Lepisosteus oculatus: one gene and its partners. The protein of the gene in region 2 interacts with the protein of the main gene of each other region in a biochemical or structural test. Links are inferred from orthologs where the notes say so. Each region holds a gene or a part of one and is shown on either strand. Other genes may lie near its edges. The genes, in order: mitogen-activated protein kinase 12-like, snta1, kcna4 and frmpd4.

The links.
Region 1: of the proteins of snta1 (region 2) and mitogen-activated protein kinase 12-like, one has a biochemical effect on the other in vitro, tested with the Homo sapiens proteins (2 studies listed by BioGRID and IntAct, with this or other methods). The link is inferred for Lepisosteus oculatus from reciprocal best matches to the Homo sapiens genes SNTA1 and MAPK12.
Region 3: the proteins of snta1 (region 2) and kcna4 interact in a test that uses a peptide from one of them, tested with the Homo sapiens proteins (2 studies listed by BioGRID and IntAct). The link is inferred for Lepisosteus oculatus from reciprocal best matches to the Homo sapiens genes SNTA1 and KCNA4.
Region 4: the proteins of snta1 (region 2) and frmpd4 interact in a test that uses a peptide from one of them, tested with the Homo sapiens proteins (2 studies listed by IntAct, with this or other methods). The link is inferred for Lepisosteus oculatus from reciprocal best matches to the Homo sapiens genes SNTA1 and FRMPD4.

The regions. Positions count from the first base shown.
Region 1 is NC_090702.1:48,040,937-48,048,022, forward strand, and holds the start of mitogen-activated protein kinase 12-like, read left to right. Parts: upstream 1-4,015; 5' UTR 4,016-4,436; coding exon 4,437-4,555; intron 4,556-6,198; coding exon 6,199-6,328; intron 6,329-6,897; coding exon 6,898-6,956; intron 6,957-7,086. UniProt on the Homo sapiens protein: Serine/threonine kinase which acts as an essential component of the MAP kinase signal transduction pathway.
Region 2 is NC_090711.1:15,463,584-15,471,464, forward strand, and holds the start of snta1 (alpha-1-syntrophin), read left to right. Parts: upstream 1-4,727; 5' UTR 4,728-4,799; coding exon 4,800-5,091; intron 5,092-7,881. UniProt on the Homo sapiens protein: Adapter protein that binds to and probably organizes the subcellular localization of a variety of membrane proteins. May link various receptors to the actin cytoskeleton and the extracellular matrix via the dystrophin glycoprotein complex.
Region 3 is NC_090716.1:3,645,461-3,653,611, reverse strand, and holds the start of kcna4 (potassium voltage-gated channel subfamily A member 2), read left to right. Parts: upstream 1-4,995; 5' UTR 4,996-6,130; intron 6,131-6,152; exon of another isoform or gene 6,153-6,500; 5' UTR 6,501-7,384; coding exon 7,385-8,151. Other genes in the region: fshb (follitropin subunit beta), read right to left, coding at 1-19. UniProt on the Homo sapiens protein: Voltage-gated potassium channel that mediates transmembrane potassium transport in excitable membranes. Forms tetrameric potassium-selective channels through which potassium ions pass in accordance with their electrochemical gradient.
Region 4 is NC_090708.1:21,686,289-21,694,145, forward strand, and holds the start of frmpd4 (FERM and PDZ domain-containing protein 4), read left to right. Parts: upstream 1-4,807; 5' UTR 4,808-4,993; coding exon 4,994-5,037; intron 5,038-7,857. UniProt on the Homo sapiens protein: Positive regulator of dendritic spine morphogenesis and density. Required for the maintenance of excitatory synaptic transmission. Binds phosphatidylinositol 4,5-bisphosphate.

The DNA of each region.
Region 1 (7,086 bases), on a different chromosome or scaffold from region 2:
AGTACTTCTTACAAGCAATGGCTGCTTCAGGTCTGTAACCCATCGACGTCGTCAGGCTCCTGATACGTTCCTTTGAGACGCTTTGCCATTTTTAGTTGTTGCTCGTCTGTGTGGCTTTCTCACTTTGTGACGTGTTGAGGTTTCCTCTTCAACAAGTGAAATGCAGCTCAACAGGATTCAGATCAGGAGCCCCGTCCAAGTCAAGAGTTTCCACTCCTCCCTGCTGATCTCCGTGGTCAAGAGCGTGCTGCGTCTGGAGTCCTTGTAGTCATGTGCAGGGTGAACAGTCGTCCAATGAGATCAGAAGCAGTTTTTGGACGTGGGCAGACGAGATGTTTCTGTAGACTTCAGAACTGATTCCGATTCAGCGAGCCAGCCCTGGAGTCCTGCCCGAGCCGTGACACCACCACCACCATCATGCTTCAAAGTGAGGTGATGTGCTGAGGAGCTCACAGTTCCTCTCTTGCTCCACACTTTGATACAGGTTTATCTTCATCTCGTCTGTCCATAAAACTCTAGTTCCAGTACGGTTGTGGCTCATCTTTCTACTTCTTTGCGAATTCTGGTCTGGCCTCGCTGTTTTTAGCGGCGATGAGAGGTTTGCTTCTGGCAGTGTAGTGCGCAGTGAATTAAGATGCCTGCATCCCTGCTCTCTAGAGATTGACTTATGGGGTTTTACTTTATAGCCCTAAGGTTTCTTCTTCCTTGGATGACCTGGTCTCCGCTGATTGCTTACTCCTCTAGGAGTAATTCAAGACATTTCATACTGTTGATTTCGCAATGCCCGCTCTCTTTAGAGTGCTTGCCACATGTGTCGTGGGTGTTGGTGTTGTAGTGGTGTTCTATCTGGGATTTGTACTGTTTCTTGGCAGATTTTATGCCAGCTCTTAATTTTTTCCTAGCCCCTCTCAGTTCTTCCTCATTGCCAGATTTGAAGGCTGCATCACTGGCTTTGAGCAGGGAGCGGATCTCAGTGTTCATCCAAGGTTTTTGATTCAGGAGTTTGCGTATCTTTTTAACGCTCACCACATCATCAGCACATTTGCTGATGTAGCTAGTGGCTGCTGATGCATACATGTCAATATTGGTGTGGGATCCATGGGAGGCTGCATCTTTGAACACACTCCAGTCTGTGCACTCGAAACAGTCCCGAAGCATTGATTCTGCCTCTTTGGTCCATGTTTTTACAGTTATAACTGGAGCCTTGGTGCGTTTGAGAAGTCGTCTGTAGGCTGGGAGTAGGAACAGGGAGATGTGGTCAGATTGTCCAAGAGGGGGGTGAGGTACTGCTTTGTAAGCACCGGGTACATTAGTATAAACAAGGTCAAGTGTGTTGTTTCCCCTGGTGGGGCAGTCAACGTGTTGGTTGTAGATGGAATTTTCTGATCTCATCTTCACTGTTGCTTGAGGTGACAACTCCCTGGTCTTCATCTTGGTTTAACTCAAGGGGCAGGTCCAAAAAGTAAACCCGGAAGACTGGAACCAAGGATATACATTGACAGCTCCACTGCGTTTTAACAAGTAGAACGGAAACATCCATCAGGCATTTGTCCCAGTACTTACACTTGTCTGAGATGGGGAGTTTTAACATAATAAATGCCATTGTTCCAACATGGCTAAACCTGTATGCTAAATAATACTCTGAAACAAAATTGGAAACTCTATACTTTTGCCTCATATTAACCTCTTGATCTGAAAATCAAATTGCCATTAGCATACATTTCATTTGACTGTGCCAATAATCATGTTTTCACTGCTGGTCCAAGCCTGGCGGTGAAATTGTAAGATCTGAGACAAAGTATAGTGTTCAGTCCACCATCAAAAAGGATATTATAGCCTTAGAAAGAGTTGGCAACAAGAGGAGCAACAATAATGTGTCCTTGTGACACGGTATGGCTGTATATGGGCAGATTAAAGGAGCTGCAGTTAATCTCTTCAATCCAGAACGGATCTAAACCAAGCATACAAGATCCTAAGGGGTACAGAGTCCAGGGTACTGTTTCACACTCAATAGGGCAACAAGGAACAAGGGATTTACAGTCGGGATTCTAAAAGGGAATTAATATAGGACAGAGAGGAGGAAACACTTCTTCACACAGAGTTGTGAACAGTCAGGTGAATCAGGCCCAACTGCTGGGCTCCTCCAAAAAAGATCTGGCATTCATTTTAGATTCACTTAACCACCGAACTACCACATGAGCAAGATGGGCCGAGTGCCCTCCACCTCTCACTTGCTGTCTTTTCTTTGTGTGGATCCCAGGCGTTTTCAGACATTTCAGCCTTGTGCAACACTGTTGTAAAAAGTTGTGACTGAGGGTTATCAATACAGTACATCCTTGGTATGATGAGCTTCGCTTTAACGGACCGAAACAGTCTGTAAAATCAGAACTACTGGACTTTCCCCGTAATGACGATGAAATGCACAAATAGTTAAATATTACATGGGTTCGAGATTCAGGAATAGCAATGGTGCCCTATAGGGGTAGGTCCACTGCTTATAATGGGTTTGTGTTTTGTATGTTTTAGCAAATTTGATGCAGTATGTTTATGACACATGAAATAAAGAGTTTGTGTATTCATAAGAGGCACAGGTATATTTTTTATTGACTGTGCTTATTACAATGATAAAAAATAATTCAAAAGAGCAAGTAAACATATAGTGTATATATATAATGATGGAAAAAAACGCAACATTTTCTGGAATGAGAATACTATAGCTATAGGTTATGTACTTTCACAAAACGTTGTCAATTTGTTTTAAGCCCTCTGACCAGCAATACAGCTTGTGCAGTGAGGCATTGCAGCTTGCCAATCACACGAAAGCTCGTTAGGTGCAGTTTTACCCAGCGAGGTCCAGGTGGAACAATGCCTGATCAGGTCACCTTTAAAAAGGCCTTAATTCAAAGCTTAGGTCACTGCAAGAAAAAGGGCAGACTTAGTCAGTTTTCTGTGCATTCCATAATGGCTCGAATGTCACCAGAAGCAAGGGAGAGGGCCATTGGCATGCTGCAGGCAGGCATGTCATGTGCCAGCGTTGCCAGACACTATGGAGTGAGTCGCTCCACTGTGTCCCGACTGCAGAGAAGGTTTCAGCAGACCGGCAGGACAGATGACCATCCAAGATCCAGTCGCCCTCGAGTGACCACACCAGAGCAGGACCGACACATCAGACTGGTCCATCTGAGAGATCGTTTCAGATCTGCCACCCGTACTGCTGCTGAAAGTGCCGGCAGACCCAGTGCCCACATCAGTGACAGGACAGTGAGGCTCCATGCTGCTGGCCTAAGAGCAAGGCGGCCTGTCAGAGGCCCTCTGCTCACACAATTTCTCTCCCTGGCCAGCTGTGCGGTGTGGCTGCTGTGTGTTACCCAGGGCTGGATGATCTGGGTTCTCTCCTTTATGTAAGGTGCTTTGGGATTCCTCATGGAGAAAAGAAGGCTTTGGTGTTATCCTGGGGGAGTAATTAGTGAGGGCGCCAGAGCGATCTGTATCCACTGCTCTGCTTAAGGTGTACCCATAATCTATGTTCTTGTACAGTTAGTAACTACACAAGTTTACAGATAAGTTAAAAAAAAAACAGGTGGATCAGTAAACCCTGTAGAGGTCAAAAAAGAAAATGCGAAAGCTTTAGTTTTGAAATCCTGTAACTTGGAAAAGGCCTGGCTGGTGGGGTTATGGTTGTAATATAGGCGAGAGCAGCGCGTTGCCCAATGTACACGACGCCAAGACATCAAACTCTACAAATAAAATGAGAGAAGCGAAGTTTGAAGTCTGTGTTGTTGATACTTCCTTTTCATCTTGCGCAATGCGGAGGAGCACAAAAAAGGCAACTAAACAACGTTAGGATTTATAGTAAAAGGTTAAGTGGTGTCTTAGGTGGCTGGAGGTAAGGAGTCAGATAACGCAAGGAGGAAGCAGGTTTCTGGTTTAAAGTCCGTGGATGCGCTAATTGATTCAGGTGGGTTGTGGCCTTTGGAACTGAATAGCTTGTACTACATACCAAGAGCTTGAGGATGATGTGTGTACTAGCCTCGTTTCAGTACTTTCAAGGCGTGTGCGTGTGAGGAATGTTTCTCATTCCGGCTCCAGGGTGAGTTCCCGTCAGACGGTGCGGATCACACCTGCCCTCTTACCGGGGGCGAGGGAAAAAGAAACACGAGTCTGTTTGGGGCAACAGACCTGTGCGCCGCGGAGGCGCAGAGCCGAGCGCGCAATACAGGAAGAGCGTCTCTGAGAGGAGGGGATCGTGGAGACGGGAGGGCGACCAGATAGACAAACACACACACGCACACGCACACGCCGCACTCGCTGACTGAGTGACGGGGGAAGAGAGAGAGGGGCGCTGCGCTCCGGAGGCTGCGAGCGACAGAGAGAGAGAGAGAGCGCATCGGAGGGACCGGCGTGCGGTCAAGCTCGGCTTCTTCACCGGTCGGAGAATGACGACCCGGACCAGACCCGGATACTACCGGCAGGACGTGAACAAGACGGTGTGGGAAGTGCCCGAGCGGTACCGGGAGCTGAAGCCCGTGGGCACGGGGGCGTACGGCACTGTGTGGTGAGGCTCGCCTGGGGTTCATAGAAACACATCTGTCGCCAGTTTGTCCCGCGGGGCGGCCGCCCACGGAGTTTGTGGAGTTGTCTCGCCGGTTTCGGGGACGCGCAGACACAGGAGAAGGAGGGCGCCGAGTCTGAATTAGCAAGGGAACAATAGAAAGCCCGAGCCGGTCTATTTGCTCAGCCCGCAATGTATATTTGCGTTCTTACTTCCTCCTTTCGCTCTCTCTCATCTCTCCGGCAGCCTCTCGGCTGCCTCCCCTGCCTAGCAGCTCACATCTGAGCGAAGCGACCGTGCAGGTCCGGGTGTTTCAGACGCCCGCACCGAGCCACGAAAGCACGGTCTATTTCAGCCTCTCCGTGTCTGTGCAGAGCACAGGCAGAAGTTTGTACAGTCGTGCCCGAGTGGACGGTGGAAAACCAGTTGTCTTCCGGGTTAGGAAATGAACGCTAGCTGCCGAGTGTCCGTCTGGCACTCCCCTGCTCCTCTCTGTCAGGACTTGCAAGCGGAGGAGGAGGTGTGGTTAATAACTTGGCCCGGTGGAGGCAGGGTGTCCTTAAACGTCTCCCTTTCGGCTCAGTGGAAGGGAGGGTAAAAAAAACACGAGTGCACTTTTACAAGCCCCCGAGCGTCGTTCACCCACCACGCGGAGCTATAAAAGCACTCGGAAGTAGGACAAGACCACAAGGGGCTGCGAAATTTCCTGAAGCAACCCGTTTTCAAACTGCGGCGTCGCAGCAATGCGCTCGACGATCTGATCGGTCAAACACCGCCGGTTCCCGGCAACGCCAGGCCGGTGACGTCACCCGCCCTGCCCGCAGGAAAGGTCATTCACACATCGCTTATCTGTCGCACCTTCGCTCAGGTTGGGAGAATCAACAGGTGTGAATCAACTACTTTCTGGGGGTCAAAAGTAGTTAACAAGGAGTTCTTGTGAAGTTCCTACTGGTAAGAACAAGAGTGCGGTATCCCCACCATACATAACCAGATAGTATAGGTTCATTAGAGCTCTGTAAGTTTTACGAGTTTTAATAACATTTTCGAGGCCTTCGTTGGTGTTCTGTTTCCAGAGCGTTAAGTCTGCGTGCCCTCAGCTGCTTAAAACAATAATTATAATAATAATAATTGCTTACACTTATATAGCGCTTTTCTGGACACTCCACTCAAAGCGCTTTACAGGTAATGGGGGCTCCCCTCCACCACCACCAGTGTGCAGCCCCACCTGGATGATGTGACGGCAGCCATAGTGCTCCAGTACACTCCCCACACATCAGTTATTAATGGGGGTGGAGAGCAGAGTGATGAAGCCAGTTCAGAGAGGGGGATTAATGGGGCTGTGTTATTAATCTCTGACCTGTTATTAATCCCTGGCTCACTCGGCGCGGAGTAGTTGCCAAAGCACAGTGTTTCGGCCGTGGAGCCGCCCCCGGGCTCCGCGTCTGGAAGGAGGTGTTCCTTCTCCTTCCCGCTTGTCCGCGCCAACGGCCGTGCGCTGCTCCTCCGCCGCCGGCGCGCGCCGAGACAGCGGTTCCTGGCCCGGATACCTCCGCTGCCCTGCACTGTGGGTGTCTCACGGGCCTGTTCTCGCCCTCCCGCGGGCCGCCGGGTGTGTGACGGTCCCTCTGCGGCTCTGCCCCTTGCAGCTCGGCCGGGGACCGGCGGACCGGGACGCGCGTGGCCATCAAGAAGCTGTACCGGCCCTTCCAGTCCGAGCTCTTCGCCAAGCGGGCCTACAGGGAGCTGAAGCTGCTCAAGCACATGAAGCACGACAACGTGAGTACGGCTCTCTCCGAGCCTCCCGTTTTCATCCACCTCAGGGCTGCAAGGGGGCCGGAGCCTATCCCAGCAAGCAGTGGGCACAAGGCAGGGTACTCCCAGCCCATCGCAGGACACGCACAGCCCAAACACGCTCTCACACCAGGGCCAGTTGTCCCAGAAGCCACTTAACCTACTAGTATATTTTTGTCCACACGGACAGCACCCCAGGTATTGAACCAGGAGCCCGGTACTGTGAGGCAGAAATACTTACCCACGGCAGTAGCACCATGCCACCCATGGAGAAATATAGTCTTCCCTATGAACTGGCAAGGAGAGGGAAGATCTCATTGGTGACCCTGCTTGCTCTGTGCTCCTGTCCTGTGTTTTTCCTCCACTCTCTTCAGCCATGCCTTTGGAAGAACTCACTGCTTGATTAGCCAGTCCTGGAGAGCTGTGGGTAATGAAAAGTGGGTGGTGACTGGAAGGGTCTCTTCACCCTAGCCAGTGGGTAGGGGGGCAGGTGTGATGTGGTGTTACTCCCCGTGCTGAGCGGGACAGTGACTCTTCTCTCTGTCTCCCCACAGGTGATTGGCCTGCTGGATGTGTTCACTCCAGACATCTCTCTGGACAGATTCCAGGACTTGTGAGTGTCCCCAGGTTCCCACAGTGAGATTTGTCCACGGGTCTTCAGGCCGTTGGAAAGCTTACAGATCTTTCTTGAAAGAAAACAGGGTGTTGGTTTCAACAACGTGGCTGTGTAGATTGTTCCATAC
Region 2 (7,881 bases):
TGTGTGGATATGGATGTATCTCGCAAGGGAAGTAATCAAAATCCCCTTCTTTTTTCCTCTCTAATTAATTCCTAAATCTTTTCATACTATTATGCTTTATCCAGATGGAAAACATTTCAGTTTTTTTAAGCCACCTGCCATATTTGCAATGCAATGATCTTGAATGGCAAAACAGAGATAGACAAAGGCTCTGAAATTTAGATTTAATTTAAACAGCAGGAAATGATAGCTCCAATGGTTACTAATTTATTTTTCTAGTTAGTAAATTATTGTGTTTCAGAAGACAACTCTGAGAGAATACAATGTGAAACATACCAAAGAACAAATAATTCCAGTTAAAAGAAAAGTCAGAATGAGAGATACACCTAAAATGTTATATTATTAGTGATGCTAATCTGTCCACCTACAAGTAATTTATTAGTATAATTACTGTTGTAACTGATTTATACACGTGTTTTCAATGGAGGTAAAGATTTTATTTCCAGTTTATTCGTTTACAAAAAAGGAATTATTTACAAGTTGTATAAAACATAAATTAAATACTGTTTGCAGAGGTTATCAGTCTAACTTCTTAAGAACAACTTAATAATAACTCTTTTGTCGTATTATGAAAAATGTGCTCAATTAGCTATTAGGTTTAGTCGGTGTCTTCTGTTTGTTGCTGATCATAACTTTCTTTTTCATTTTCTTTGAAAATGTATTTCATATCTTTGTATAGGACTGAATTGTAAATCAGCGTAACAATAGCGACACCTCCTGATTTTTTTATGGAGAACCAGTCTATTGGTTCTGTCAAACAAACGAACTGCCCTGTAACTGAACAGGTGAGACCACTATGGTCGTGCTTTTCTTCAATTTAAAATCCACGTAAATTAATTTATGTTTTTAGTTAATGAGGGAAAAATTATGAAATTATATAGGGTTTTTTGTAATTATAACAGGAAAACAGTTCGTAGCAGTGCCAAACTTCAGTTTCTCGGGTAAAACAAGACCAAATGAATTAAACGGGTGCCATGGTGATGAACCCAGAAAAATGTTAAAAACAGAAAATTCCTAACTAAACCACGAATACTAAACCAATCCAGAATTGACAAACAATTCTACTACTCTATTCTTTGTTTGGTATGACCGAATAATGAAGTTTCCATGAAAGGCTGAAAACAGCAAGAAACAGAAAAACAAGTTTCTTATTTTGATAAGCGACGACACCTGAAGACTCCAAAGTGTATTTAAAACATTTTAATTCCAACAAGACAAGAACAACCCAATATATTTGTCACCGAATCAAAAATTTAATTTAACAATAACAGCATCTCACTGAACTGATTCAGACACATCAGTGTGATTCATAATTCTTCACACCCATTGTTAAAACATGTCCCATCAAGAGTTGTTACCACCTGATCACACAGTATTGCGAAAGCTGTTTTGTTGACGCTGAAACCAAAATAAATTTTCATTACATATATCAAATATAAAACGAAAATATATATCGCAGGCAGGACTCTTCGTAAATGTAAAAGTAATAAAATAAAAGCATGTTGTTCCTTGTTCTATAACCAATAACAATAACAACGATAGAAACGGTGATCATGAAGCACTGTCTGTTGTGACGGCATTTTTTAAAAGTGTGATTACATTGCGATACTGAAATACTTCCACGAGGGGGAAATAGATATTCAAAGAGCTATCGCAAAATGCATTCAACCCTCCTTATAATTTACTCCTTCAACGTGAAACATTCGCCGAGGCGGACAGTCCTGGTCCTGGTCCTGGATGGTTTTCTAGGTCTCCTCAAAGCTGCACTCAAACTAGAGCTGGGAGAAGCTGTTAAATTGATTAATTCAGCAATGAATTGATCGAGGTAGTTAAGAGCTGAATTGTAACGAAAACCAGCAGATACACCACCCCTCCAGGCTGTCTAACTTTGAATTGCTGGGATGTACTGTTTGATAAATTGTATGTAACATGAACTGACATGTTGCAAGAAGTAATTGCACTTTATTAGACATTATTCACAAAATCTTTATGGATTCTCTTTGGTATCGAAATAGAGTGTATTACAACAGCAGTTCTTTTATTAATTTAGTTTTGATTAGTTTGATTGTATTGGTATGTTCATCTGTTCACTTCAGTCAGGAATGTCCAGAGGTGATCGTTTAGAGATACAGGGTGTTGATGTTTTCACAAATGACCTACTTATGTGGTAAAATAAAATGTTTCATGTTCTTACAAGTGTATGAGAAAGTTCATAAGGGCCGAGTTGTCAGTTGAACCCATTGTCCCCAGTCACTTTACATGTGAGCGGGATTTCAAGAGTTCTCTGAAACTGAAATAAATTAACATCTGAATTGAGAAGTAAACCCTTAGTAAATTGATATTGCTGCTTGATTGCTGCCCTTGGCCTGACAATAAAATAATTTTACATGCAATAAAAATAATAAAAAAACAACCAGAATATTTTAAAGATTTTATTTAAATCTTATTTGCAGACACTGTTACTAACAAGATGCCATTTACACTGTCTTTATACTTTTGTTTTCATTTGCACAGTATGTTGAATACATAAGTAATCAGATGTGTACTGTTCCTTTTACGGATGAACGTTTCAGTAGCCAGTGCAAATTAGGATTCCACTTTAAACAAGAAACTTACAGCTTTTAAAAAAAAGGATACTTACTGGAGTACTGGATACTTATTTATGTTCATATTGTATTGTTTTTGTCCCCTGTGGTAATTAAGCAGCCGTTTCTCTTCAGTAAAGATTAAGTGCTCAGTCCAAACAACAATTTAATTCAGGTTCATTGTGGTGCCAGTTGGTAATGCTTGGTAATGATGACTGACAAAACCTTCTGGATTGGCTTGCCATGACCAAAGCTGGCTACCCCTTAGCTATTCTACTGTATGTAAATGTACTCTGTTTCCAAAAGAGACTGTCCACTTCATTTTCAGCAGACAGTGCGCCTCCTGTTGAAAGATGATATACAACCTGTCAGGCTCATCCTATAAAGAGAGAAAGGAAATCCTAGCGACTAAGTATTCCATATATGGTCCAGGCGTTCCTGCTATTTCACCTGCTGTCTAGTGCCAGATGCACTTCAATGCTCCTTTAGGTTTTGCACTACTGACTCCTGCTATGGTCTGTCCTTCACTCCTGTCTTCCCCACACAGGACGTTCTCCCCCGAGTGTTCAGTCCTCAGGAATCTGCAGCTCCTTGGCTTGCCTGGCATTTTGCATGGCCTTTCAGACCGCCCAAGCTGACACCCCCAGTTACAGGGCACTGCGATAGCTCCAGAAGTGCTTGTAGGTCAAGGGGTCAACCTCCTGCAGGTAGAGGCACATTGGCCACAGGGTCAGGTAACTCTTTATCATGATTTGCTTTGTGTTTCTGCTGACGCTCACAGCACTGCATGAAATGGCTAACGTCGGTTTGCAAGGTTCTGCAGGCCACACAGCGATTCAGCGACTTTCTGTTGCCCAAACCTAGCTGCCTTTTGACAGAAGAATGCCAAGACAATGTTACCTGTATGGATGACAGCAAGCCTTTACCACCTGTTTCACATTTTGCTAGTTGACCTTAAGTAACTTGAAGCCACCACACAACTGGAAAAACTCTGCCCAATGGACTGATGTCTGACCTATTTGTGGAGGGGAACTTAAGCCATCCCACCTAAAGATATTTATGGCAGTAAAGATAATGTAAATGTCAAAATCGATGTTAATTAAAATCCCTTCTAATGAAACACTAACAAGCTCAGTATATAGACACTGCTAAATTAGTAGCTGCAGAGATAACAACTACAAACACTTTATAACATAAATATTCATAATGGCTCCACTCCTCTCATGCTAAAAAATATATTTCTGGAGCCACCCCTGGTTTTTAGATATGGCCTTCATGAGCACAGTATTATATTTATGTACCTTTACATGCAGCAGCTGAGATGATTCGTTTTCAGTCAGTAGCACAAGTGTAAAACTCTCATTTCGAGCTTAAGTACTGAACAAGTGGTAAATTAATTACTGCTTAATTTCAGAGTGCTTTGTAAAATGGGAATGAGCGACTTTGGTAAATGATCTGACTGGCCTTGAGCACAATTTTCTCTCTCCAGAGCAACACATCCACGTGATAGTGAAAAAGATCACAGACACAGACGATAAATGTGTGCATTATGAAAGTTGTTTCACAGATATTTTTATATTGTAAATTAATATGCTTACAGTATGTAGTACAATTCATGAAAAATAAGTTCATATAATGTTCTGCAATTATTTTCCATTGGAGTGGGAACAGTGCATACGTAGGGCATTTTGCTGCCTTTTCTCTTCTTTTGTTAGGTCTGTTAATACTGCTACTGCTACTACTACTACTGCTACTGATAATAATAATAATAATAATAATAATAATAATAATAATAATAACAATAATAATAATAATAATAATAATAATAATAATAATAATAATAATAATAATAATAATAATTGCACTACAATCCTTGGAATCTCACTTCGAGAAGCCATCTTCAGAGAAAAAAACAGTAATCAGTTTTATTCGGCCATTAAACATCTCTGAACTTTTTCTAAAAGCGCCTACTTCACTGGATTGTCACTATTATCAAAGCAACTTCTAATGCGTAAAGCAGAAAAAGAGCTAAGCGCCGCGATTGCAAGAGACGGAGAGGGGAGGGTCCGTGGTGTTCCTCTCTCTTGGCATCTCCGATCATCACCCCCCACCCCCATCTCTGTACAGGACTGCCAACCCCGTACAGAGTGGAGTTATTCCAGGAATGTGTTGAACATGGCTGCCGGGATGAAGGCGCAGAAAACTGGACTGTTGGAGCTCCGAACCTCCGTGGATCGCTGGATCCGTGTGCTCGCCTGTCTCACGGAGGAAAGCCTGACGGTGAGTCCGGGAGAAGCTACCGTTGAGCCTGTGAACCCCAGCCTGAGCCCAAATCCCCTGGGAGCAGTGAACGGAGATTCAACCAGCGTCGGGTCGAGCTCTCCAGTCCCCGAGTCGATCACCAACGTCAAACGCACGGTGCGAGTCACCAAGCAGGATGTTGGGGGTCTGGGAATCAGCATTAAAGGTAAAAAAACAGAATTTGCTCACACTTTCATTGCTTTGTAACTTAAGACATAAAAGTTTACTTGAAGTTAAACTTCTTTCATTGAAGTTTGTTTTCAAGTCGACAGCTCTTGACAGCCTTCGTTGTGTACATGTAGTTACATGTACAAACTAAATTATGATTATCATTAATCTCCCGAATAAGACAACTGGACGTATGTGTGATATCACATTATCGACTGTTATCAGGTGAAATTCCTTGGGCTCAAGTGAGTGTTGTTTTTCCGACAAATATACAGAACGAAGAAGAAAACCTCGGTCAAAATGTTTGCCCTTCATAACTGCATTTTGTAAGATGACTGGCATTGCATTTGTTGGGCTGTTGAACACGTGAAACAAGTGTTCTGTGACAGCAGTTTCCATTGCTGAAGTTGTTCAGGAGAATATCCCAGTTTAGGAAAACAGGCAACATTAGTTCTAAAACGGCGTGTGAATTGTACAGTACAGCGGATTACTTTGTGCCTTAACTTGTGATTAACATTGCTATAGTTTTACTGCTTAAATATTGTATACAGTTCAGGGAAGATCCTGAAGAGAAACAGTCTGATAATTATTTTACTAAGTGATGATTTAAGCGAGAATTGTAACGTATCGGTTATGACAAATTCATTAAAACAATTGTTTCTCTTAACTCATGTTTTCCTCGCGTGGAACAGAATGTTAGGATTTAATATTCAAATGATCTCAAAACTGCAAATCGAGCCATTCTCCAGATTAAGTGGTCAAAAATTAAGTTTAAAAATTGGTGAATGGAGTACTGAACAGTGAGTTTAAGACCAGTAAAGACGGCATTGTGGCAGGACAGGGCTGACCACTCTATGCGTAAGATAGCATCGAGTAGCCTTCTACTGACAGCAAACATTATAATTTATAATTAGGTTGTAAATATTTTAAGAAAGATTTGCCACAGTATCACAGTTCTATTATTTGATAATGATTGGTCACTTCTTATTGTGTCTGAATCAAAAAGGTACAGAGTTAAAAATAAACTCAGCTATGTGTCCTTTTAACTATGTGGGAAGAAATGAACAGCTTGATTTCAAACATAAAACTAGAAGTAGAAGTGCCACAATACAGTTTTAAATTAAATATAAGAGCATAAAAACATTTCAGCCTTTACAATTACCCATTTGGTAGTTATTAGCTACTTGATCTGTGAATTTCATCCACCTATTTCCTGAGAAGAAACAAGTGTATTGGCTTCCACAACATGGCTGGCAAGCTTGTTCCATACTCCCACAACTCTTTATGAAAAGAAGCGACTCTTGCCCTGAGTGGAGGAAATCACCCATATAATTCTTGGAAGACGCCAAGGTATCATCTTAGACAATGTGGCTGGTAGCTTGTTACTCCCACAAACCTATAGTATCTTTAATGTAATGATCTCCTAAAACACATCACACAACTATTAAAAGTTATTTTTGTTTAGAGAATGTGAAGTGAATTCTTGGCGGGACTGAAAAAATGTGACAAGCTGTTGAAAGAAATCTACACAGGCTGTAACCTTTCGGAATAGAAAGCTAAGTAGAATCACTGGATCTTAGGATAGTGTGAATTTTGTTTTCAGTAGTTGTTGTTTGCATGTGGAGGGGGGAAATTAGTTTGGAAACAGTACTTTTAAAGATTTCAGGTACTTGTTTGATTACTTTTCCCTTCTTATTAACTTTGTTTTCACTGATACGGGGTTTTACTGTCTGGTCCATCATCATTTGTTTCACAAATAGTTTTAGTTATATAGTAAGACAAGTCAAGTCAGATCAGTGATGAGAGGACAGACCGGCAAATCCTTAAACAGTTTGCAGAAGAATTTAGGAAGCTAAACAGACACTTTGGTTGTATAATCTCTTTAACTTTTCTGGTACAAAATTCAGTACCAACTTCAAAACTCTTATAATTTGTGGACGAATAAACACAGATAAATAAAATTGCAAGTTCTTTTGCAACAAAGTTCAGTACAAATCCTTGACATTTAAAAAAAGCAAAGAGGTGATGAAGTAATAATCCATCTATTTTCTAATCTTTTTTCCAATATAGAGACAGGGGGAGCTGGAGCCTACCCCAACAAGCAACAGGCACAAGGCAGGATACACCCTGGATGGGATGCTAGTCTAGCACAGGACACCACAGACACAAACACAGATACAAACACACACTCATTCCATGGTCAAACCTTCTAGGAGACAGTTAATCTATCAGTACTCTTTTGACTGCTGTAGGAATCCTGTTTCAGGACATACAAACTCCACACAGATAGCATGCCAGGAATTAAACCCAGGCACCCAGAGGTGGTAATCCCTGCCCATCATGCCACCCCTTAAAGTAGTAGTAGTACTACTACTACTACTACTACTAGTAGTGGTACTTGTAATAATAATAATTTTCATTAATGAAGATTCCAAAGTTCTTCACGTAAAAGTGCGGACCTAATTAATCCATTGTGGAAAGTTTTAGATTGCACAGCTCAAAGAAGAATTTAGCCAGGACTGTGGGATTAGCTTCCTTAATCTTTCAATAGTGCCTATGGATCCTTAATGATAAGGTCTTCTTTGAAGGACAGCACAGCATCCCAGTACAAGTCAAAGCCATGCAAGCAAGGCTCGTATTCTTCATTTTAAAAATACATTCAGTTTGCAGTTATTCCCTGTAGTCTTATTTTACTTTTCTGAATATGCAAGATTACTGCAAGATCTCATTTCTGGAGCACTGCTTTCTTTTCCCCTTGAAGTTAAAATATAATAGTTTGCTCAGGTGA
Region 3 (8,151 bases), on a different chromosome or scaffold from region 2:
ACAGGGCCATGGGAGACATGCTTGAGCCAGCTGGGAGGGAGCACAAGACAGGACACGGCTCTGCAAAACGTCCATGGGGCCATGAGGAAGAAGTGTGGGAAATGCATGGAGGAGCATACAGATCTTCAGGAACAGGGCAGGCAGGTGACATTGGAACATTTCGGTATAAACCACCTGACGGAGGCTGGACACCCTGATTCAACCTACAATAACCTGCTCAGGCAGACCAAGTGCTGTTAGAGTACATTAGAATCAAATGCATTGATTATACAAGGACCTGACACAGGTGTAGATCAGGATATGCCTTTGCTCCAGATTTACTCAATTCCTTGAGCACAGTGGAGTATTGATCCCTGATTACAGTGAAGAAGGAAAGCCATTGAGCAGAGTACAGTATTGATCATTGATTACAGTGAAGAAGGAAAGCCATTGAGCAGAGAACAGTATTGATCATTGATTACAGTGAATAAGGAAAGCCATTGAGCAGAGTAGACTATTGATCATTGATTACAGTGAAGAAGGGAAGTCATTGAGCAGAGTACAGTATTGATCAGAGTGACGCACACTACAGTAGTTGATGGGAACCTTTAATGACAGTTCAAGACTTTAAAAAGGAAAGTCAGATTTGTCTCAAGTGGTTGTGTTTGTCCCCATAGTTAAGAATGATCGTTTTTGTTGGCAAATGGAAATTAGAATCATGAAAAGAACAAAAGGAAGAGGAAGAGAGGAATGAAGGAGGAGAGAAATGAAGATGACATAATTCAAATCAGATTAAGAACTGCACGAAGGTGGAAATGGAAATTCTCTTACCTGCAGGATTCCCAGTCTCTCCTTAGAAACAGTGGACACCTCTTCCTTCAACTCTTTCTTATATACCCTATGGCTGATGAGTGTGTAACCCGGGGAGATTTAAAAGGGTGAAATATGATTTGTGTTAACTGATGGACAGAGTCCAGTTTTCAGAGAGTGGGGTCTGTTAATCCGCCAGTCAAAACAGTTTCGGTAAAAACCCACCAGGTCATAAAATCCACAGCAGCAGGAATCAGGGCTAGGACAAAAAACAGATGCCCAAGGTTGTATTTACCGTGTTTCCCAGAGCTGGGTGATTCCACTCCCACACAAGCTCAAAGCAGTCTTGCGTTTGTAACTTGGCAGATGACAGATAAGATCATTTGTCTTTGCAGCTGAGTTTAAGGGGCAGAGCATTAGAATATTAACAGTTTCAGCATTTTAATTCTACGTTTTATTTACAATGAACAAGATACTAAAAATAATCTAAAACGCAGGGCAAGTAGCAGACTGCAGAAATGGTGACGGTCAGTTTGGAGAGCATGAAACCAGGCAAAGCGTACAGTAAAAACAATTAGGATCACTAGGGGTGTTACATTTGTGAAAGATCCCAGGCCCATAGGTAAAAGATTGAACAAGGCTGTGAGTTCAAAGGCATCACAGAAACTGCCTGCAGGGCTGCTCTGCTGCAGGAGATCCAAGAAGGAGGCTTTTAGAACTAGAACGTAGCTCCAAAGATGAAGCAAGTACTTTTTACTTAACTGTGTACCTTAACGTTGAAAATATTTACCTTGACCACTACTGAGTTGATGTCAATGCACAACCCCAGTGCGGTGTGCTGTATTCTGCATTGTGTCAGAGACAGATTTCAGAAAGGTTGCAAACAACGGGAAGCTTTTTGACCTTTTTCTTGCTCATTTGTTTTCACAGCAGGTGATTGATTTGAAGACTCAGTCTGGCTCTCTCTTGAGAGCTGTCAGGTTCTCGACTTTAACGGGACCCTGCAGCTTGTTCCAGACTCCCCCAACCCTTTGTGGAAAGTGCCCGGTGCTCTCTCTGGTTTTAAGGCGCTCCCATGTGGTTTCCATGTGTGTCCTCTGGTCCATGTTTCTGTCACGTCCCACAATCGCCCTCGCAAATGCCATTACATTCCCAAACCCACTGCTTCATGCTCTTATTCCTGACTGAACCCATCCCATTCTCACAGGCACCAGATTCCACAGATTCTCACTCCTGGACCAGTTATCACACCACGTCCCTCCCCTGTCACTATTTTAATTTGGCTCACGCGCCAAACCTTGCTCACTATTGAAAAGCCTCTTCTAGAGATTTCTAGTGCGTGTTATTTTCTTGTTGGATTTCTAGTTTTGTTTTACTTAACTTTTCCCTTTCGATCTCGTCTCTTGTATTTCGCCTTTTGGGTTGTCTTCTCCGTTTGCCCCAGCACTTTCTGGTTAATGGATCTCCAGCTTCTCCTGTCGACCTTGCCCTCTGGATTACGATTTTGGATTGTTTGCCGCTGCATCCCGCAGAATTCCCGGCTACGCACAGGATGCTCGGACAACTACCTGCCGGATCCCTGACAGTTTCATTGTTGAGGTTGGAGAAGTCCACTGGGTTGACTGGGGCTGGCTGTGCCTTTGAAGATTTAATGCTGGAAGGCTCTTAATTTTGAAACTTGAACTGGCAAACATCCGATCAGGCAACGAGAGAATCCCTCATTTAAATCAAACTGTTGCTTGTGGGAGACATGGTAGTGCAGTGGTTGGCCTTGCTACCTGCCAGTGCTAGAGTCCTGGGTTCAATTCCAGACCTGGGATGATGTTTGCTTGGCGTCTGCATGTTGTCCCTGTGTTTTTCCTCCCATAGGCCAAAGACACAGTGAATTGGCTTCTGGGAAAATGGCCCTGGTATGAGCATGTAGGTTTGTGATTGGCCGGGGTGCACCCCGCCTTGTGCCGGGGGCTTGCTGGGATAGACTCTGGCTTCCCCTGCAACCCTGAACTGGAAGCTGCAGTTAGTGTCATGATCGCAAACCCCTCCTCTTAAGGGCGCTCCAGCCCTTCCTCGTTTGCCTCATTCCCCGCACCTATGCCTTGTTCCAGCCCCCTTTTCAGTTCCCCCTTAAAAGCCAGACGCTGACGCTAATCAGGGCTCTGCACTGGTTTCCGCATCATGCGAGCCCGGTTTCCTGCATGCGCCTGGCTTTACGTTTCTATTCCCGTTCCCGTTCCCCCTGCCGGTCCTGACCCGGTTCTGGGTTTGAATCTTTTGTCTCGGATGGATCACCTGGCCTCGGACTCGTCCCTGGATCGTTTGCCTGGGCCACACCTCCCCCGACCACCAGCACTCCAAGGACACCCCCCCCTGTTCTCATCCCTGTCTCCTGCATGCCTTTTTCCTCATGTTTTCTCACTCCACCCCAGATAGTGTCGTCTGCATAGGGTCCAGAAAGAACTGTCCCTGACAGTCAGCAGATGGGCGGAGTGCGATCAGAATGACTTTGTGACTTAGACCTCGACACCGCTTCGGTACCGGCAGCTGGACAAAAAAGCCGGAAGAAGGTATTGTTCAGCGATACATTCATGCAATCCTCCGGCGTCCAGATGATGTTGGGCCTGCAAGCATTTATTTTTAAACTGCAGTTTAGAATTCCCCCCAAAAACTGATAATATCGAGAATGTTCAGGTTTACATCCTCTGAACAAGGGTTAACGGTATTTTTCTCCCCTAACCGAATATTATTATAAAGAACGTCTTTGCAATGTTGAAAAAGTAAGGCAAGATCGAAATCGCTAAACAAGAAGTTAACAGGAACTGGCAGCTTTCACATCCCGTTCCTATTCTGTTACTATTTTTCTCGCCCAGAGCGATGCATTCACAGTGCAGTGATCATGCGCATTAGTGTTTCAGAGCTCTTTGCACAAACCATTGATGGCTTTTTCTCAATGCAAATTCATCCGGAGAGACAAAAGTAAATAACAACTCTCATTAAAATTTAATAAGGCATACCACCCAGCTACTTAACAGAATGCGTAACTACATGTAATTAAAAAGGAGGGCACATATTCAACAAATGACCTTTAATAAAATGAGAGGAGCTCTTTTGCTTGTTTGCCTGATGGCATTAGGGAGGTTTAATTGATACTGGATTGTCGCCTGTGGATGAGTTAAAAAAAAAGAGGACGGTTGGTGTGAGTAGGGCGACCTCTTGTGGCACGATGGAGTTACTGCAAGAGTACATTTCTTGTTGACACGTGATGGCGGGGTCTTCGCTTGCCTGAGTAGAATCAGTCCATAGCTAATCAACATAGCTATAGACTAAATGAGCAATCAACATATTTTGCAGGTGCAGTCGCCTGCATAAGCGATATCACCAGTGACAGCTGGTGAACACCGAGACATCTCAAAAATGATGATTACACGACAGAAAGGCGTGGCTTTAAATGGGACAATACGACCGCAGAGCTATCTCCTTATAGTCCAGGGCGGGCTGGAGCGGGCTCAAACTATATGCATAACACGAATGTAATTGCTTACACTGTAAGTTACAGTACCGCTTCAGCAAAGCCGTTAGTTTTAAAGCGTCTGCTGTATTAGAATTCACCTGCGGCTCGGCGGCGTTATTGCACGTCAAGAGACACTGCTTGTTCTACAGAGCCCAGAGGTCACCACTGCGCATGTACTACAGCGAGTACAGCGCGCTGGTGCCGCTCAGTTCAGTGACTCAGCCACAAGTTTAACTCCGCGTTCATGCGGGCGCTGTTTGCACAAACACCGCTGCACGCTGGGGCTCTGCTTTAAAGCGGTACACGCAGCCCAAATACTCGCCACGGACACAGTCGGCGTTCCTGCTGTTCGTGTTCATATAAATATCACAAGGATCCAACTATAGCCCCCTGATGAGGCACGCTTATATGTACAGTACCACACGGACATACTCCAACGCGTCACCCAAGGGCGCCGAAGATGCTCCTTCGAGACGCCTGGGATACAGGAGTTCGGCTTCTCCGCCAGGAATAGTATTTCTTTGCCACCGTGTTGTTTTTCCAACTTCGATATCACTCGGTTCCTATACACGCTTCATGCTACACTCATATGCAAACGAAACGTTGAATTGGTCATTAGCTATAAGTTAGCACTGGAATCTAAACAAAACAGTTTCTGTCGGTACTAACCGGGAATATACAGTAGACTATAGGCGCAAAACGTCACATGACTAGATTACTTCATGGGGGATATTATCATCATAAACACGTTTAAGCACACACCAGAGTTCGGTGCATAAATAAACCAGCAGTAACAGGTTCCGACACGAATGTATTCAATCTGCTCCCCGAGCTGCCGTGTGTCCAGTCCGCACGACCGTCGCGCGGCCGGTAAGAGAAAAAGTTCCCGAGCGCGCGGCGGCTGCAGTGCCTCGCTCCGGCCGCTGAGGGAGGATCGCAGCCCGGGCTGCGCGAGGGAGAGGCACCCCGCGCGGCGGGACCCGCTGCTCCTCTGCGCGGCACGCGCGCACGCGACGGGGGCGACAGGGGCCGCCGAATGACTTGGGGAGGGGGGGGGGTAGGCGCGTGTCACAGGCGGCTAATGTTATTTTAATCGACGCGACCGATGAACTTTAATTATCGTCGTCGCCCGTTTTGTTTTGTGGTTTTTTTTAGATATAGAGATGTGCGGATCCGCACAGGCTGAACGTCTAGCTTTTAAATTCTTAACACCTGTATATGTGTGTGTGTATATATATATACACCGTGTGTGTGTGTGTGTTGCCGGGTAAGGCGAAGCCGGGAGGAAATGTGTATTTTTTGTCATTGAGAGGTGTTGACAAAGTAGTGATTGATACTGTTGCACGGCCACGGGAACAGCTGCGATTTCCACAGCGCGCTGAGCGAACTACGGCTGCTCACACCTCGCTACAGTCACAGCCGTCTCCCGACACGCGTTACGCAGGGATCTATTGTGTTATCTTTTCCCCTTTTTTTTGCAACACCGTGAGCATACGGGAGGAGAGGAGAGGGGGGGCTCAGACACTGTTTTCATTTTGACTGCTGACTTTAACATCACTTGCCGTGCGCTGCCTACTGTGGGGAGACGCGTCAAACTGCCGGGGAAAAAAAAGCACCGTGATCTCCCGGGCGCGCCAAACCTGCAGCTGGGAAGGTGAATTCGTCTCCAGCTCATTTCTCTTCCATATTCCGTTTCCTGGCTGGAGGAAAGAGGGATGTGAGGACCTGAATATCAGGGCATCATAAAAAAAAAAAACAACTATCCCAACTATTGAAGATCACATCGGGCGGAGAGAGAGGAATAGGATCTGCGCCTGATTTAATTTTCAAAACGTAAGTACAGGTCTGAATCGTACTGGGGTGTTTGGGGACAGAGGGGGATTGTGTTGTATTATGTGCACGTAGGGTTTTCGTCTACCTGTATTTAGAGAAAGACTGAACTGGGCTAGACTGTATTGCAAGCATCCATCACGCAGTGAGACTCCTGTTGCAGGGGCTGTTTTGTTTAAGGTAGTGCAAGCGAAATGATAATATAGTGCCCGAGGGAGGGGAAAAACGGGTATAGATTCACCTGCCTTTAAGGTGCAGGCAGGTTTAGGATTTAGGAACTGTGTGCGTTGGCTCTCTAAGGTCGTGGAGGAACACGACGATCGGATGAATCAAGATTTTCTCGTTTCGCTTTTTTTTGTTGGTGTTTCCTCAGCCGTTGTAATCATCATCATCAAGTCGAAGACGTGCGAGGAGGACGGACGGCTGATTGCATTGCGCTTCACGTCTGCAGAAATAACATAACCTCCCACCCACCCCCCCCCCAGAGAAAAAAAAATCAAGACCACCACCACCACCACCAACAACAACACAAAGATCAAGGGTGGGGGGGGCGGGGGTCAAAAGGCGGCTTTAATTGCGCACATCTGGATATCAGGAGAGTTTGTGACGAGCGTGACAAGTGGAAAAGCGACAGTCCTCCCGAGATGGGAAGCCGGCGGAATCTGTCGTCTGGGAGCATCTTCGCCATCCTCGGCGCCGGACACACCGCCGGACAGGTGCAAACAGCCACAGCTTAGGGCGGGGGGCGGGCAGATCGTTTTGTGACCCCTCCGTCGTGGGCACTGCAAAAGTGTTTCCACCGTGCGAGGTGAGGATGGCGCGACTGAAGAGATAAGAAAAACAATAATAGTCATTCACCCCTCCTTTCCTAACGCACCGTCTCCCGAGCGGACCCCTGGGGCCCGACCCGACCCGCACCCTTCCCCCCAGTTTCGCGGAAGGAGTTCGGGACTAGGATGTTGCTTGGCCGGCACCCGTGGTCTCCAACAACGGACATGTCAGGCAAGAGGAACTAGGGCCCGAGTCGTGCTGGAGGCGCGGACGAACAGGTGCGAGGGTCTGACAATGTACTGAGCCGCCCCCTCCCTCTACCGCCACTTTCACTTCAGGTCAAAGCTGCGGGCCCTTGTTTTTGTTGTTGTTCTTGTGTTCTGACCTCGGAGAAAACTGAAACCGGGACACACACACACACACCTCCCCCCCGGACTCAACCCCCTCAAAAAATAAAAACACCGGCACGCCGCTCGCCCCGCCAACATGGAGGTTGCCATGGTGAGCGCGGAAAGCGGCGGGTGCAACAGCCACCTGCCGTACGGATACGCCCAGGCGCGCGCCCGGGAGCGCGAGCGGGAGCGCGAGAGGGAGAGGCAGGCGCACACGCGCGCCGCCGCGGCCGCCGCCGCCGCCGCCGCCGCTGCTGAAGCCGCCTCGGGAGGAGGAGGAGGAGGAGGAGGGGGAGGAGGGGGATCCGTGAGCCACCACCACCACCACCTTCACCACAACAACAACCACCACAACCAGCAGCCGCATCCGTCTCGCACCGCCTCCTCCTCCCAGGCCGGCAGCAGTGGCGGCGGCGCCGCCTCGCGCCCCTCCTCCTCCTCCTCCCAGCAGCAGCAGCCCCACGAGCCGCCGCCGCCAGCTGTCAAAGGCAAGCAGCGGCGGCGGCGCGCGGCGCAGTGGAGACGCGAGCGTGCGGCCGGCTTTCGCCACTCGGAGCTGGCGCTGCTCGGGTCCGAGGACGACATGATGAGGGAGGAGGAGGAGGAGGAGGAGGAGGAGGGGGACGAGGACGAGGAGGAGGAAGGCGAGGGGGGAGAAGGGGACGGCGGCGGCGGCGGCGGCGGAGGGGGAGAGCCGAGAGAGCGGCGGAAAAGTTTCCTGTGGAGCCTGGGCGACGAGGAGACGGTGTCCCTCCCGGACCGGCGTCCCCAGCAGGGCTACGACCACGTCTACAGCGAGTACGGCTGCTGCGAGCGGGTTGTCATCAACGTGTCGGGGCTGAAGTTCGAGACGCAGCTCAA
Region 4 (7,857 bases), on a different chromosome or scaffold from region 2:
GCTAGGACTTAATAAAGATTTCTTGAATAAAAATAGCTCTATATGTATACCTCACTCTTGGGTTACAACCAAAATGCCTAATTGCCCAATGTAGGTTACAGGTTAAGATTTGGGATTCATGACTAAAGGTTTCAAAAACGCCCTGATGTTTGGGCTATAATTGTGCAAAACAAGAAGTGCAAAACATCCTGTTGTAACTCAATTGACAGGTGGGCTTTCCTTTGCTGCTTCAGTTTCTGATAAATATAACTCTGCCCTTAAGCAACCCTGGCAACTCCCAGTAGATGTGCAATGCAACCAATAAAAGGCAACAGTTATTAAACAGTTGAAATTTAATGAGGAAATTCAAGGCAGAATTCAGCATTTTATGCCCATTAATTTTGGTTAGAATACAAGAGCAGGTTATTATATTATATTTATAATATATATTATATTTAGCAAGTTTTTCTTGTAGACCATTTTATCTAGCCATAAATTCTAATGACATCTTCAAGTATATAACACTGGAGGAGCTGAAGACAAGACAAAAGTGTTGAGAGGGCACTTATTTCCACACTATGACACCTTTAGTTCTTGTAGGTCCCTTGTTGGCCACAGACATCCTTAATGGACAAGGTCACCCCTTTAATTTCATCAGCACAGTCCCACTGACACTCATTCCCAGCTCAACATGACTTAACATTATAATGGATGAATGACACAGCCTTTGTTTAGACTTGGATTGTTCAAAAAATAAGGCTTGGTGCTCTCTGTTTACTCCAGCTGTGTTTTTTAATTAATAAACCGCTGAGGCTCTATTTTTTTTTTCAGCACAGCTTAAGGCAAACTAGACATCTGACCACAACAATTGATTCCTGAATGTGTGGCATATGACTGGTTACATAAATCATTTGTTTCTAATAATGGACCAATTCCCTATGTTCTTTCCTGCTTTTCCTGAAGTTCCAGTCTGGTGGAACTGATGTACCTCCCAGCCAGCTTCTTAGTGCTAAGATACAATACTTATACAGCACTAATATGTCAATCCACCCCCTGAAAGTTTTCCGTGGTACTTTCTATGGGTGTAAATGGGTGGAGTTTTCTAGTGAAGGTTTTAAGACTGGATCTAGAACTTGCTGCAATCAAGATTCAAGCCAGACAGTCCTGTGCTGCACGATTGACTTAGTAGAACTTACTGAATATTTTAACTAGTTGAAATTCCATTTCAGATGATTTTACACTACTTTGAGAAATAAAATGCAATTTTGCTCCTTTTAAATTCCATCTTTCTCTGAGAGGTTAAAAACCTGAATCCCTTTAGTCTTGAACAGAGAAGACTACAAGGGGACTATCTTCAAAGACTCTTATAGTATAAGGTTTACCCTGTGGACTGCTTCAAAATCAACAGTGAAACACAAATCAGAAGAAGCAAATGGAAACTAAGGGGAAGTGTTTTTTAACGCTGATAACAGGAGGCACTGGGTGGTGGGACTATGGAGCAAGGTACCCAGCCATGTTGTCAAAGCCAATGTGATTGCTTCTTTTAAGAAACAGCTGTATAAAATCCTTGAATAATTGAAATATTAACAACAGATTAATTTAGATGTCTGAATGGCTACAGTACATCCCATTTGCAGGTAGCCAAAATAACTTTCCTTACAGATAATGTAGATGAGTTCACATGCTTAATCTTATTATAACAGGTACTTTAGTTAAATTTGTGTTGAATTTCTGTGATAGCTTAGCCAAGGACATTGTAGCTAACCAGAGAGGTTGACTTTGAGGTGTCTGTGAATAAACCTATTATTTGAAGGTGGTTTCTTTGTCTTGCACAAATATGCACCTATGTGCTGCCTACATCTTCTCAAACTCTTGTCATTCTAGATTCTAGTAGATTTCATTCCTACTATCTCCCTACTGGCAACTATCAGTCTCTGCCTCTCTCTTCTCTCTTTCACTTATCTCATTAAAGTAACCCTGAGCTTTTCCATCCTCATCCTTTACACAATGTCTGTTTCTCCACTGTGTTCCCCCACCTGACTCTGCAGGGTTGGAAAGAATTATCAATTATTATTGATGAGCATTTTCAACCTGCTGTGTAATGCTCTCCTAACCCTAACTCTAAGACCACCCAGTCTTGAGGGTCACACCTGAAGACGGATCAACAGACAAAACATTGTGTTTCTTATTTATGTTTTTCATATCTCACATCTCTGAATGTGAGATTGTGTGCTATAAATAGTGTAGTAACAAACAAATAAGTTCTGGAACCCAAGATGACATTTACATAACTGAGTTTATTGTATGCAAGGAAAAATAAGACCAAAGTATTGTTCAAAATATAGGTACAAAACTTCCAGTTTATATAGCAAATTTCAGTCGCTTCTGATGCTATGTTTGGACATTCCCAAGACCCTGAACACTTTTGATGGTCGGTTTTATCTTTCCTTAGTTAGGGGGTCTTTATCTTGCACTTGGAATTTCATATCAATTAACTCCCATTCCTGCCATAACTCAAAGGTTCCTAAGTATTGAATGTCTGGTGTTACAAGAAGTCTTTGTGCAGAAAGAAATCAGTTAACCCCTTTTTCACATCTTATATCTTTCTTCATTAGTCATAGTCATATTTTGTTTTACCAAAGGTCTTATCGCACTCTGTTTAAGAGGATATACTTTTTTTAATATAAGCTTTAAAATATACATGTTACTGTACATTTAGTTAGTGCAGCAGGTCAATTGTGCTTCATGTGAGTACAGTTTCTATACAGATTGATAACCTAATACAAGCCCAGAACATTATTTTACCTGGTATGCTTTCACATAGAAAACTAATTCAATATAATTGATAAAGCCACAATAACCATTCTGGCCTTATGCTTTAAGCCAGGCTACATCTAAATGTAACTCCTGAAACTCAGAAATACGAAAGACAGATGTATGCACTAAAGAGCTGGTGTTGTCAGGCTCCAGTGTCGATCTGAGATGCCTAATCTTGGGCATCACCCAGACAAAAAGTAAACCCCTGGCAAACAGGCAAATCTGCAGAACAAACAGACTGATCAGTCCAGGGAAACTCCAAAGCGTCATCACTTAATGTATTAATTTATAGATTGAACCTTATAACTCTGGAATTATTATTACTCTAAAGTAAACTTATTACTCTAAAACTCACAGAAATGTTGCAGAGTGAGCTTGATAGAAGAGAGAAAACAATCCTGCAGCTAGCATAAGTTCACTACGGGGTATGACCAAAAAGACAGAAACAGACAAACATTCTTAACTGTGTGATAACCTGCTGATCGGCACATGTTAAAACTAACAAGATACAGTAGGACTGATTCCTGCACAATTTCATCTCATCCAGTGGTTTATAGTCATACAACTGTACAGTTGGCAGAAGTTATTTAATCTACTTATTGCACTGATAAACTGAACCAAACAATGTATTTGCAATTTGAACCTTCCTGGAGTCACAAAACGATTTCACTCAAGATACTGCAGTTTGATTGCCCCTCAGGATACTTGATAAAGAAAAAAAAATTGAAGGAAAATGGTAGCGGACCAGGTATTCAATTGCTTTTTCAGTTTTGAAGGTTAACTGTAAAATGATCACCTTTGATAGATTAAGCACTGTAGTTCAAATTGTATATTGTTTATCCTAATCTTAGCCACAAAACCTTAATTAAAAACCCAAACAAACAAGTAATTATATTTTATTATCAGATGGTTTTAAATTTGTTATATGAAAATCCAGTCCATCTGAAGAAACCTTCTGGGTTGCATTTTTCATAAAATACAATTAAGTGTGCAATTTTCAATGACTGCTCCCTTTGCTGTTTAGCTGTGAACATTATATTATAATGATAACAGGAACACGTAATGAAACTCATGATAAAAATACGGGACCTTTTATATTTTAATTAAACCCCTAGTGCCCTAGGCAATCCACTCCATGGAGCTGTGTCAGCTGGAAATCCAGTCAATTTAACTTCAGTTATGTAATCTGTGTTCATTACACAAAGAAAACCTGCCCTACCTTCTCTGTAAAAGGGCAGTCAAATTCATTGTAGTTGTGGGAGTCGTGGAAATCTGTAAAAACTGCTCATGCAGTTTGCTGAATAAACACAGAGTGTCTCGGCTTCATCTCTGTACAGTAACATGGGGTGTAGTCCACTGTTGGCGTTCCTGCCATGATGATGTAATTCTATTTTAAGGATTATTAACCTAACAAACATGAAACCTAAACATGTTATGATGTTGGCTGTGTAGTTTGTATGCTTATACATACAGTACATTTATTATTTTCAAAGTAAATGTTCTTATTAGAGAGAGTCAGTAGAAGTATGAGTTATCCTTACAATTATATTTTCAGTGTTGTTAGTCTTCAACAACCAAAAGACTAATTTAGAAAGACTCAGTGCTTGTTAAACTGTAATGGTTTTCATGCAGGACTCATCTCCTCTAATAAGGAATATACCCTGTAAACTCAAAGTAACTTTTTGCACATTAGAAACACATCCTATAATCATAAAAGTGTTTATGAGCAATTTACTTATTATACTCAATTGAATAGGGGTGAGATGGGGTGCAGGCAACTGGAGTAAATGCAGTTTTGCCATTTTCATTTTGTTCCATGTCGTAAGCTTTTAGTGCACTGGCTGTACCAGGCACTAGAGGACAGCTGTTCGTACATTGATCCCTCTCTTGCCTGATGATGCAGTGGCCTGGAATTTTATCTTGTTTCATTACTGAAGCAGAAGAAACTCGTTTGCTCCCCCCCCCAGGGCAACAGCCACTGACTCTTCCCGGCAGCAGCCCTATGTGTTAATGCTCTTCCAGAGTTTATCCAGAGAAACGCAGATGCACTGGCTAAATCCAGAGCAAGAGCTGCACAGAGAATTCTAAGCCAAAGCCAGAGGAAGAAGTGGCAAAAAAAAAAAAACATTTCCTTCCAGGGAACCGAGGAGTGACAGTCGTAATTAAGTCAAGACTTTGTGAGTGAATCTGTCACGTAATGGAGCTTTGCAGCAATCAACTGGGAGTCTTCACAGTCATTCAGTGAGTACTACATTGCAGTGACACTTTTGGGTCTCGGTTGTAAACAGCTCTTTGATGTAGCTGTTGTCCCTGGAATTCTAATGAAAAACCTATTCCAAAAATGCTAACATTGCCATTGATGCATGGAAATTTAATAAATAGGAATCTATATGTCTTTTGTTCATTTAATTCATTTGTTCCTGAATTGGCAGTAATCTGTAGTGCTGTGACAATACAAAAATAGCAACTCCTTTTAAGTGCTTTCCACAGGTTCTTAAAAATAAAAACTGAATTAAATGTCCCTGGAATCTTCAAAATGTTGAAAGCTACCTGTGATGCTAAATTAGTTAAAGTTTTAAAGGAAGTGTATGTTTTTAATGTGTTGTATGCATGTTGTCTATTTTGTATGACAGTTTTCTTCAACACATACCTGTATACTATGAGAATGTTTTCTGATACATATCTGATTATTGCTGTGAAAGTATCTTAGAAATTAAAGTGAACACCATTTTAGAAAACAGTACCTCTAGCAACTAAAAATAAGCTATTTTTTTTCCTTTAATTCATTGGAAGAGTGCCAAATTGACTTAGATTCTGTCTGTGAAATTTGTTTTTCAAGGAACTTTTAAAGTCAACGGCTTTTGAAGTTATTCCCACTGTGAAAAGTTGGCATAAGCAGCTAGCAATCACTTTAGCATCTGTACAGCATCTGACTCTCAACATTTCTTCCTGAGGTGGCTCTGCAGGCTTTCAAATTTCAGCTTCATACTGTCACACATTTTTTAAACAAAACTGCTCATCCTGACTTTTATCACTCTCTGTCCAATTTAAAATTCCAAGACTTTTTGTAAAAGCTCATTTGATACACAGCAGTTTGATTCTCAGAAAGTTTTTTGTTTTATTTTTTTTAATAAAAAACAATGGGTTTTTATTCAATGCTGTTATGCTAAAATATTATAACAGTATTGGATATAAGAAAATATGTAATTTCTGTATTTCTTGGCATTCTCTGTATTGAATGTCAAGATGTTCTGACTACATTTCAATGAATAGAGGGGTGCTTAAAAGCATTAAAACACTTTTTTTTTCTGTGTGTATGTGATTTGGGACTGGGATTGGAATTAATACGATTGCAGATTTCTTTTCAGACCTGTTTAACAAACTTATTGCACATCATAATAATGAACCTAATGTATTCATGCAGAAAATGACTTTTGCTGTAAGATCTTATTTTCTGAACAGGCCTTTGTCCTTCCCCTGTGAGTAAAGATTCCCGCACTTTCAGACTGTACATAAAATTTATTTTGTATATAAATTTGCTGTGTAAAAAAAAATAAATACACACTCTCCTCTAAGGCTGTAGATCTAGAAACAAATTTGTTGTTTTGTATTTACTGTGCAACTAAGCCTTCTGTGAAATATGCAGCCTTTCAGGACAGCAATAACCAAGCCATGCCTGCTGAGAGGGAAGAAGTGAAATACTAATAGCTTCTGTCACTTTGTGTGCTGTGCAGAACACTACTGGCAGAAAATATTGATAACATACAAAAACGATTATGAAATGTTAAAATTAAAATTACTTTTCATAATTGTCATTTGCTTGGTACATTCCAGAAACAAATACGTTTTTTTTAAATGTTGCAGTTGTTTAATTTAGATGTAATTCTCACAGGAATTCATTAAGTACAATTCAGTTCCTGTTTTGTCTATTATTGTATTCCCTTTCACTCAACCCAGGATAATGGGTGTTCATGTTCTGTATCTTATATTATATTGGTTATCAGAATGAATACCATATTATATATCACATCACTATTATTATTATTATAATAACTGATACAGGTGATGCTATTATTATTGATACAACTACTATTACATCAACAATACCTTTTCATCAAAAGAGAAATGGAAAATACCATCTCTGGATGTTCTTATTTTGTATAAAATAAAGTTGATTATTGAACTGTTAATAAATTAAAACTTTTATAATTTGTTTAAGATTTCCATATACTGTATTTGGAAGAAATGACATGTCTGCCAATAATAACAGTTGTAACCAGGAAACAGTTTCATGCCAGGTGAAGCATTTTAAATAATACCTTGCACGTATACTGTATAAGCCAAAGATCTCAAAGAACCCTAGTTATAAAAGTGGATCTACTTCTACACCACATACAGTATGGGTGAATTTTAGGAAGGCCAGGATATAGACGTCCAAAGTGGAATTTAGAGAGGAGACATAGGTGACAAACACCTTCCTACTGCACAGTGTCTCTGGTCACTGGGGCACTGGTTTGGAAATTCTGGTCCAGTAGGCAGAGAGCCACCTTCTCTTCCTCCATCGCCACTTCCAGCAGTAGCTCATTATTCCCTAGAGATCTCCCATTCCAGTTCTTCCAAGACCCAGCCTTGCTTAGTTACTCAGATCTGACATTATCAGACTACAAGGTGGTAACACTCTTGTTGCATAACTGTAGCAAACACATGAATTTATAAGCATTAAATAACACACCACACACTCTCATTCATGAGAAAATGTCCTTTGATTAACCCATAATATAAACACCATATGTATGGGATTTCTAGTAAATATATAGTAAAAAACAAAAAAAATCATTTGAATTTACAGTGAATTTCTTAGAAAGTTTAATGTGAAACCCTTGTAACTAAAAACAAAATAACTACACACCTTATGTTACTGCTGAAAATGAAAAAATCAGATCCATTTAGTACGCGTTATGGTGCTTCAGATATGTTATTGTAATGTCTCAGATGTTACATGTCAGCATTCTATTCAAATGTATTTAACCAGTGAAAACGTAATTTGATTGTAATAACATA